Drosophila melanogaster: one gene and its partner. The protein of the gene in region 2 purifies or fractionates together with the protein of the main gene of each other region. This does not show direct contact. Each region holds a gene or a part of one and is shown on either strand. Other genes may lie near its edges.

The links.
Region 1: the proteins of GstZ1 (region 2) and tmod purify together in Drosophila melanogaster (affinity purification with mass spectrometry, with the first as the bait; one large-scale study listed by BioGRID). This does not show direct contact.

Annotation. Positions count from the first base shown.
Region 1 is NT_033777.3:30,530,823-30,536,003, reverse strand, and holds the start of tmod (tropomodulin), read right to left. Parts: upstream 3,168-5,181; 5' UTR 3,022-3,167; exon of another isoform or gene 2,909-3,021; 5' UTR 2,719-2,908; coding exon 2,497-2,718; intron 1-2,496.
Region 2 is NT_033777.3:9,454,902-9,458,257, reverse strand, and holds GstZ1 (glutathione S transferase Z1), read left to right. Parts: upstream 1-1,711; 5' UTR 1,712-1,812; coding exon 1,813-2,092; intron 2,093-2,146; coding exon 2,147-2,477; intron 2,478-2,540; coding exon 2,541-2,670; 3' UTR 2,671-2,741; downstream 2,742-3,356. Other genes in the region: GstZ2 (glutathione S transferase Z2), read left to right, coding at 1-55, 133-262. UniProt on the Drosophila melanogaster protein: Catalyzes the glutathione dependent oxygenation of dichloroacetic acid to glyoxylic acid in vitro. Possesses low glutathione thioltransferase activity toward 4-hydroxynonenal (4-HNE).

The DNA of each region.
Region 1 (5,181 bases), about 21 Mb from region 2:
TCTCCGCATGGGGCTCATGTGTAATATGGATGTGGTGTCCGGTTATGTGAGTTTACGGCTTGTTGCACAAATTAGCATGCCCCATTTGATTGGAACGGCGGAGCTGAGCAAAGATTTGCTTAACTACATTCCAGTCGGCAGGAATAATATGGCCGAACTTTCCGACCGCAAAGTCGCTCGTTTGGGTGTTTATTAAATAGTGGTGCATTTCCATAATGTTTGCATTAAATGGCGCATAATCAGATAATTTAATAATCGCAAATTGGGCGTATTTGATGTTGAATTTTCAGTGACAATAGATTGAGAGTTCGATTTTGTTGAAACTAATCAATCATGAATATTCTATGAATATTTTATTCAATTTAGTCATTCTCTTTAATATTTATTGTTTAGTTTATAAGCAAATACACAGAGGCTTGAACCATACCCCGCACCGCACAAATTACCGTCGTTTAATGAGCTAATCAAATCAGGAAACAACGGTGAAATCAACTGTGAAATTTATGACAGTTTTCCGCTTCGCCTCGAATTAAGGATAACGAAAGGCAGTGGGGATGGGGAGTGGAGAAAGTGCCCGGCGTATCTCCGACTTTATTTAACTAATTTTGCATTTTCAACTCAAACTCGACTTTGGTCACGTATCCCTGCGGCTGGAACTTTGACCTGTTAAGCGCATAAAAATGACAAAAACGGTACGTGACTCATTAGCCGCTTTCGCCCAGGAAATGCCGCCGGGAGAAAGTGAGCGGGGAAAGCTGGCTTGGGCAGTTCAGCAGTTCAGCAGTTCATGAGCTTCGGCAAGGAAACCGGACTTTGGCAGCGCAATTAGTTCGGCAAGCTGCTCGGAGCGAGGCACATACGATCCTGTTTTGTGTATATGGCAACATATGCCCTGGCAGCAGCACATCCTTATCCCTGCCCCATTCGCAGGACTCCGGCTGGCTGAGCTCATGCGTTTTCATTTCCATTTCGGGCCCATAAAAACGGCAAAACGGAAAAACGAGAAAAGGCCGAGAGGCCGACCCAAAAAGAAGTAAATTGCAATGCAAATTTAATTTGGCTGCCATAAAACTCGACGAAAGAAAAACGGGCGGTGTTTTGCTTTTCGCCCGGCGAGGGGCGAGGGGGGCCAGACAGTCGTAAAACAGCGGCGGGAAAATCGAAGACTTTCTGCGGGGTTTGGGGTGGGGTAGCGGTAGTGGGGAATACGGGTGGAAGTGCGTGGCCGCCGCGCCAAGCCGGAAATGCAATTTGTAATTTTGTGCAACGATTTGTGGCAATTAATTGCTGCCCCACCACTTGCACCACCCGCCCCATGCGGCACCACCCAACTTTCGCCCAGTGCGCGCCAGACCGCAAGACACGGAAACCTCAATATTTATTTTTTGTTTCGCCTTCTTCTCGATGTTTTTTTTGTTTTTTTTTTTTTTTGGTCTGATACTTGTTTTTTTGCCTCTGCATTTGTTGGCGGCACAGAATTTATTGCATTTAATTTTTTTGCCATTTCTCTTCGAGTGTGGGGATTTTTTGGCATAGCTCGGCATCGAGTATTTAAGTGATTTCTGCTTAATAATAATTTAATTCCCAGCTTTTTTTATACGCCATGCCATTTGAAATCTTTTGTGATAATTTGCGCCGAAATCAAACAGCTGCAAAATTTGTATTTTTTGTTGGCTTTCCCCCGGCAACGTCGCCTATAGAAAGTGTGGCCGAACATATACATACATATGTATATGTGTATATAATCGCCTATATGTCCGTCTATATCTGTGCCGCGGTGTGTGTGATGTATAATGTATGGGAAGATTTATAATATTCGTGGGACCGTATAAACAATTCGCTAAGACGCACATAGAGAAATGGCACTTGGTATAAATAATGTATAGCCAGAGTTCGCCATGTTTTGGCCAATTTCACAAGCGAGGAGACCAGTACGGCAGAAGATCCCTTCAGAATATGAGAATAATGATTTATAGTCTTTCATAAGCCAAACGATCGGGGGTGGCCAACTATTGAGGAAATCATTCAGTTTTGGGCGGATTCTTTGGTTTAAACTTGTAGTTCCGTAAGAATATTTTCGGAAATATGTAAAATGGAATGTCATTTACTTTCGCAAAAATATGCGATGTTTTTATATAAATTCAATGCAAAAACAAGATGTTGTTTTGCGGCATATATCCCCCCACCAAAAGCTTGGTAAACAATACTTGAATCGAAAATATTTTTATAAAAATTTCCATGCTTAATAAATTTTAACGAACTGTTCTTTAAGTTGATTGCGAATATGCACTTAACATTAAAGCTTTTGGAAATAGTTTCCATTAAGAATTTCCCAAGTTCCCGAATTTTTATAGCTTCTTGAACGGTTTTCAAATTCAGAATACATATTGATTTTCATGGCTATTCGAATTATGTTTGTACTCAGCACACGCACAATAAGTTAGTTAATGGATAATGGCGGCTATTAGATGGATCCATGGGTCAGAGTTCACTCACCTCAGTGATCTTCATGGTGCGCTTCACCGTTTTGCGGGTAACTTCGGTGGTTTCCTCCACGACATCGCCATCCTCATCGATGGTCTCCGTTACCATTTTCTCGGTCTCGCCGGGAATCACCTCCTCGGTGTGCTCGGTGACCACGCTGGTTTTGCTCTGGGCATCGGGTTCGGGCTTGGTCTCCTCGGCGGAGCCACCGAAAACATCCTCAATGTCCGACATTGTCTCTGATTTATATCCTTTTCGATTGGAGTCGAGCTGATTCACTTGGCTTTCTCTCACGTTCTTGTGTTCACTTTCACTTGATCACTGGATCACTGATCACAACGATAACACATAACACGCAGAATTGCTTGGGTTTTCTTCTTTCTTATTTTCTTTCTTTTAGCCTGAAAAATACAAACGACCAGAGCTAGAAAAATGAATATTTTTTGTATATTCCGCTGGGCTTTTGGCAGCCGCTGGTTATTATATAAACAAGAGGAATTTCACGGCGCGCTGGTTTTTTAGTAACTTGTTTTCGACCTAAGGGCGGTATATTTAGAGGTACTGTAGATCCTTCGTGGTTTACGCAGATGCCTGGAGCCTTCGATCCTCTCGGGAAGTGCTCGATTATCGAACTGTAAAAACGTAACGTCGACCAGCGGCCACGAAAGGCGCGACAACAACGGAGAACGGAGAATTACGGAACAATGGGACTACGGAAGAACGGAACAATGGGACAACGGAATAACGTAGAGCCGTGGTGACAAAAGGCGGATAAAGCGAAACAAGTTGAAAGATGGAGCTATCGAAATCCCATCACATCACTTCAGCCTGTTTCGAAAACAAATCCGGAATAATTACGGAACAACGGAACGCACACGAGGCGAATTACACGATCACGGGTCTTCTACTTGCTGCCTCCGTCCTAGCTTCTTCTAATTCTTCTAGTTAGAATCTTCTGCCGTCTGCCACCGGAACCGACGCCGGAGAGCAGAGCGAGACGGTCTGAGTTCCGGAGGGTCTAGTGGGGCAGAGGCCCCCAATGTGTTAGCCGCAGGTGCGAGCGGGACGGCCCGAGACCCCCAGCGCTCGGGAGAGCGCCAGCAATTCTCCACACTCTCTCCTCCACTCTCACTCTCAGTTCTCTGCCGATCTGCTGCCGCTGCTGACGTCTGCTCAATTTTGAACGTTGATCTTCGTCGCGTTTCAAAAGTTTTTTGTTGCCTTCGTTCCGATCTTTTCTACACTGTGTGCCTCTACACTGAGAGAAAATCCTACCAAATTGGATTTACATTTAGAAAGCTTTATTTGGTAAAAAGAGGAAACTATCTGACAATATTTCGTATGTTAAAAAGTAAAAGTACAAGGCTGTGATCCCACATGTATCCTAATCCTTCCGAAATTGAACTCCAGAGTTCTATAAAATATCAAAATATCTGCAATGAAGTAAGAAGTGAGTTAACCATTTTTCTGAGTGCAGTATTTCTGTTCTTTCTTTGAGCAAATGTGAAATTTGAATGCGAATGAGTTCGCTCGCTAATTGTCCGCCTGTTGCAATTTCTTCGTTTGACCAGGCGAATGCAATTAGTGCGGCTGCCGGACGTCTGAGGCCCGTCAGAATGTGAAACTCCGCCGTGAAGTGCCAACACTCCTCATTCGCCATCTCATATGGTCTGTACTCCCCTTACTCCGCATACCCCCTACTCTCCATACTCCCCGTCAAAGACCCACGCACTCTTCTCGTCAATGTGCGTGGAGCTATTTTGGGTGGATTTAACAATAGACAGAAAAAAGAGGCAGCCAAGGATGAAGATAGTGATATCTTCCGACTTTGGAATACCTAAAAAAGAGATTTTGATAGTAAGAATAGAGTTTTACAATAAGAATTATAGAATGTTTATTCAAGAAGTAAAAATATCTTATAAACTTGAATTTAGATAGATTTTAAAATTAATTTACAAACCAATTTGTCCACTCTATCAGAGGGACTTACTATCCCCATAAGCCCGTGTTGCATTTCCCTTTTTCCAACATTTTTTTTCCAATAAGCCCAGACATCTCATCGATACCCTCTGTGGGCAAACAACTCTGAATCGGGTGGAATACATTGGGCTGATCCGGCTGGCCATTTGGCCGGGCGGCATTTGACGCCGTCTTTTCCTTTTTCATGCGCTTTTCTTTTTTTTTCCTTTATTTTCCGTTCGTTTTTTTCCCTTTTTCCTTTGCCGTGGCCAGCGTTCGATGTGCGAGTGGAGGCAGTGCATCACAGCCAGCGGGGCCTGTACAGGGTGCCTTGTGGCAGGGGCATCTGTCGGAAGATGCCCATCTCAAGTGATTTCACCTTCTGCCTTCTGTCCGATTTCTGATTTTGTGCTGATTCCGATTTAGATTTTTGATTAGCGAACGCTTTCAATTGCTGGCATTTGGGGGCTTTAGTTTTGACAGCGATGTGCGGACTTCCTGTATCGCATCGCGGACTGCACAAGATATATGAAAGACAAGTGTTTCGAACGGACCCCCGGTTTTCCCCGCAGCGCTGTGTAAACAAAGCGCCAAGCACACGCAAGACGGAATATTCTAAAATTAATTCTCGAAAATGTCTTTTCAGCTCGGCAAACGCAGCGACATGATGCGGGACAAATGCCTGAATATAGATACATCCAATGGATGTGTCTCTGATGAGCAAATGCAATTATGTGG
Region 2 (3,356 bases):
ATGAGATCTCCATGGCGGACTGCTGCCTCGTACCTCAGGTGTTCAATGCCCGAAGGTAAGTATGATACGAAATCAACTAAATCTCGAGATGCTGAAGCCTAGCTTGATTCATTGATTCCTATTTCGTTCCAGATTCCACGTCGACTTGCGACCGTATCCCATAATTCTGCGCATCGATCGCGAACTGGAGAGCAATCCGGCATTCCGGGCGGCCCATCCCTCCAATCAACCGGACTGTCCGCCGGAGCTGCCCAACAAATAGAATTTTCCGACCCCAACTGCAAAGCGCCGTAAGACGAAAAAGTGAATTGCAGTTCGTAAACCAGGCACAAGACAAACTAAGAACTTAAATCTGATCGGTGGGCACGTGGATGGCGATGGCGATGGAGAATGGATTGGATAGGATGGCAAAGCTGGCGAGGATTCCATTAAGCAGAAACAGTCGGATGTGATTTAAGAAATTGCTAACAGCATTTAAATATGCATAAATGCATAAAAATACTATCGATAACATAACGAAATTCCTCACACGAAATTCAAACGCAAACGCAAACGCAAAATTCTCAGAAAACGGAACAAAAAATCGTATAATAAATTCTTCAAATTCCCTTAGTTTGTCATTGTGAATATGATCTAAAAGATGAACTCATATATATTAAATGTAACTTATTTTTATGCATTTTATTTAGGCTAACAAATCATAACAAATTCAAGGAGAACTCACGACGAAAAGCAAAATTCAATTCAGGGATTTAAAAAAAAAAAACCAAAACCAAATTTAGAAACACTATCGAAGATTTACAAGTATAAACGATGTATGTATGTATGTATGTATAAGTACTTCATGTCAAAGTCAAAGGGCAGATGCTAAACAAATCGTTCACAAAGTACAAAACGTCAGTCAACCAATAAGTAAACTAAAGCAAGCTACATATACACTAAATCGAATAAATCCTAAGTAATTTATGTGAACTAAGCTAAAGAATCGATCACCTATTCGATGGTTCTGGATTTCGTAATGCCTCTTTGATACCACGAAAGCATAACTAACTAACGAAGTATTTCCCTAAATCCAATGCACATAGACGAAATACAAAGCGAACCGATTAAGTGCACAGTAATTTTATTAGCAAGTTGATGTAACTTGGACCGTGTGAGTCTCCTCACAACCCCGTACGAGTAGTTATAAACATAAGCCTGCCGATGCCAAGTACATACACACAAACACCCATACTTACTATCCTGCACGACAGTACAACGCACGAGTCGAAGAACGAACGCCAATAGTCATCATCATACAAACATACATATAGGTCGAGCTGCGCATTTTCGCACACCAATCGAATCGAATACCAAATTGAATACGAACCAACTAATATGCATAATTTCCGAAATATTGTAACAGTTCCATATACTATAAATAAATAAAACTTCAAACTAAGCTGAAATATTGCTCAACAAATGTACTTTTAATATATCAAAAGCAGCACGAAAAAGAGTAGGCAAATCACAGATATCTATCATTACTTGAAGAAATATAAAAAACTCATAAAATTGCATTACACCTATAGGATCTTTATCATAAAGTACCCTTGTGCCATTTACTTGAATATATTACGAAAATAATTGCCTACTCTTGGGAGCAACCTATAAATGTAGGGAACCTATCGATAGTTCGGCACAGCATTCTCCAATCAGAACAGCTGAGTATTCTTATTGCTATCAGTTAGCAAAAGTAAACCGGTTGTTTTTCTCACTATAAGTTCTGTTACTTAATAGAAGGGTTCTCTTAAAGAATATATATTTACATATATGGCTTCTGCTACCCAATTGACCCACAGAGGTATCCATTTGGCCGGACTGTACAGATCTTCTTGGTCTAAGCCCTTGTTCCGACATTTGGCAACAAAGCCTATACTGTATTCCTATTGGCCTAGTTCGTGTTCTTGGAGAGTTCGCGTTGCGCTGGCAATAAAGAAGATTGATTATGACATTAAGCCGACTTCTTTGCTAAAAACAGTTAGCGGACATGCCTATACGGATGAATATAGGGAAGTCAATCCGATGCAAAAGGTTCCCTCGTTGAAGATTGGTAAGTGAAGCGAGCAATTTGAGTATTTCAAATCTATGAGTTTTGCGGCATTAGATGGCCATACCTTGTGCGACTCGGTGGCTATTATCCACTACCTGGAGGAAACTCGACCTCAGCCAGCACTTCTGCCCCAAGATCCGGTTAAAAGAGCAAAGATCCGTGAAATTGTGGAGCTCATTTGCTCGGGCATCCAGCCACTGCAAAATGTATCTGTCCTAGATCATATAGGCAAGGATCAGAGTCTGCAATGGGCACAACACTGGATTTCTCGAGGATTTCAGGGTCTCGAAAAGGTTCTTTCCCATTCGGCGGGCAAATTCTGTGTGGGAGATGAGCTCAGCATGGCTGATATTTGCCTGGTACCTCAGGTGCGCAATGCCAGGAGGTAAGAAACATTAATTTATTTAAATTTAACTGGATACTGATTTATTTTAAAACTCCTAACCAGATACAAAGCTGACCTGACCCCATATCCCACCATAGTACGCTTGAATCAGGAACTACAAGAACTTGATGTCTTCAAAGCCACTCATCCCAGTACCCAGCCAGATTGTCCACCTGAATTCGCAAAAAAATAATCAAAACTTAAGATATATTACATTGCATTTATAAAGATGCTTGATATTAAATGGATTTCCAAAGCACCCAGCACAAGTCGAAGTGAAAGCTCATTGAATTATAATATAATTTTTATTAGTTTTGTCATTTTTATATAATCGTTCTTAAATGTGTAGTGTGTAATTCACGTAATTCATTTATGTACCGTCCTAACTTTGCATTTCTAATTTTCCATCCTGGATGCGGATCGTTATAATGTTTCTGTGTATGTAGTATGCACTTATTGGCTTTCCTGGTTGGAGTGTTTCTCTGTGTTTGTGTGTCTGCGTGTGTATATATGTATTCAACAAATTTTCTATAAATACTATTACATACATACAGATGCGCCAACGCATTACATAACATAACCATTACATTCGATATACATGTATGTTCCGCACTGTACCTAACGTCGGTACCGATCCATCGCCTACCTAGCTTAGCTTTCATTTTATTATTGGCCGTTTAGCGCGCCATTACCGTAAAGTTTTAGTCGCAATCTGCATTATAATCTTGTTCATTTTCTTATTAATTTTCTTTTTCATTTTCGTTTTCATTTTTTTGTTCGAGTATGATTCACTTGGGGTTATATAGCTATGCATATATATGTATGTAGAGAGGAGTAACTGTTTGCATACTTTTCGTTCGCAATTGTACAGAATTTCTT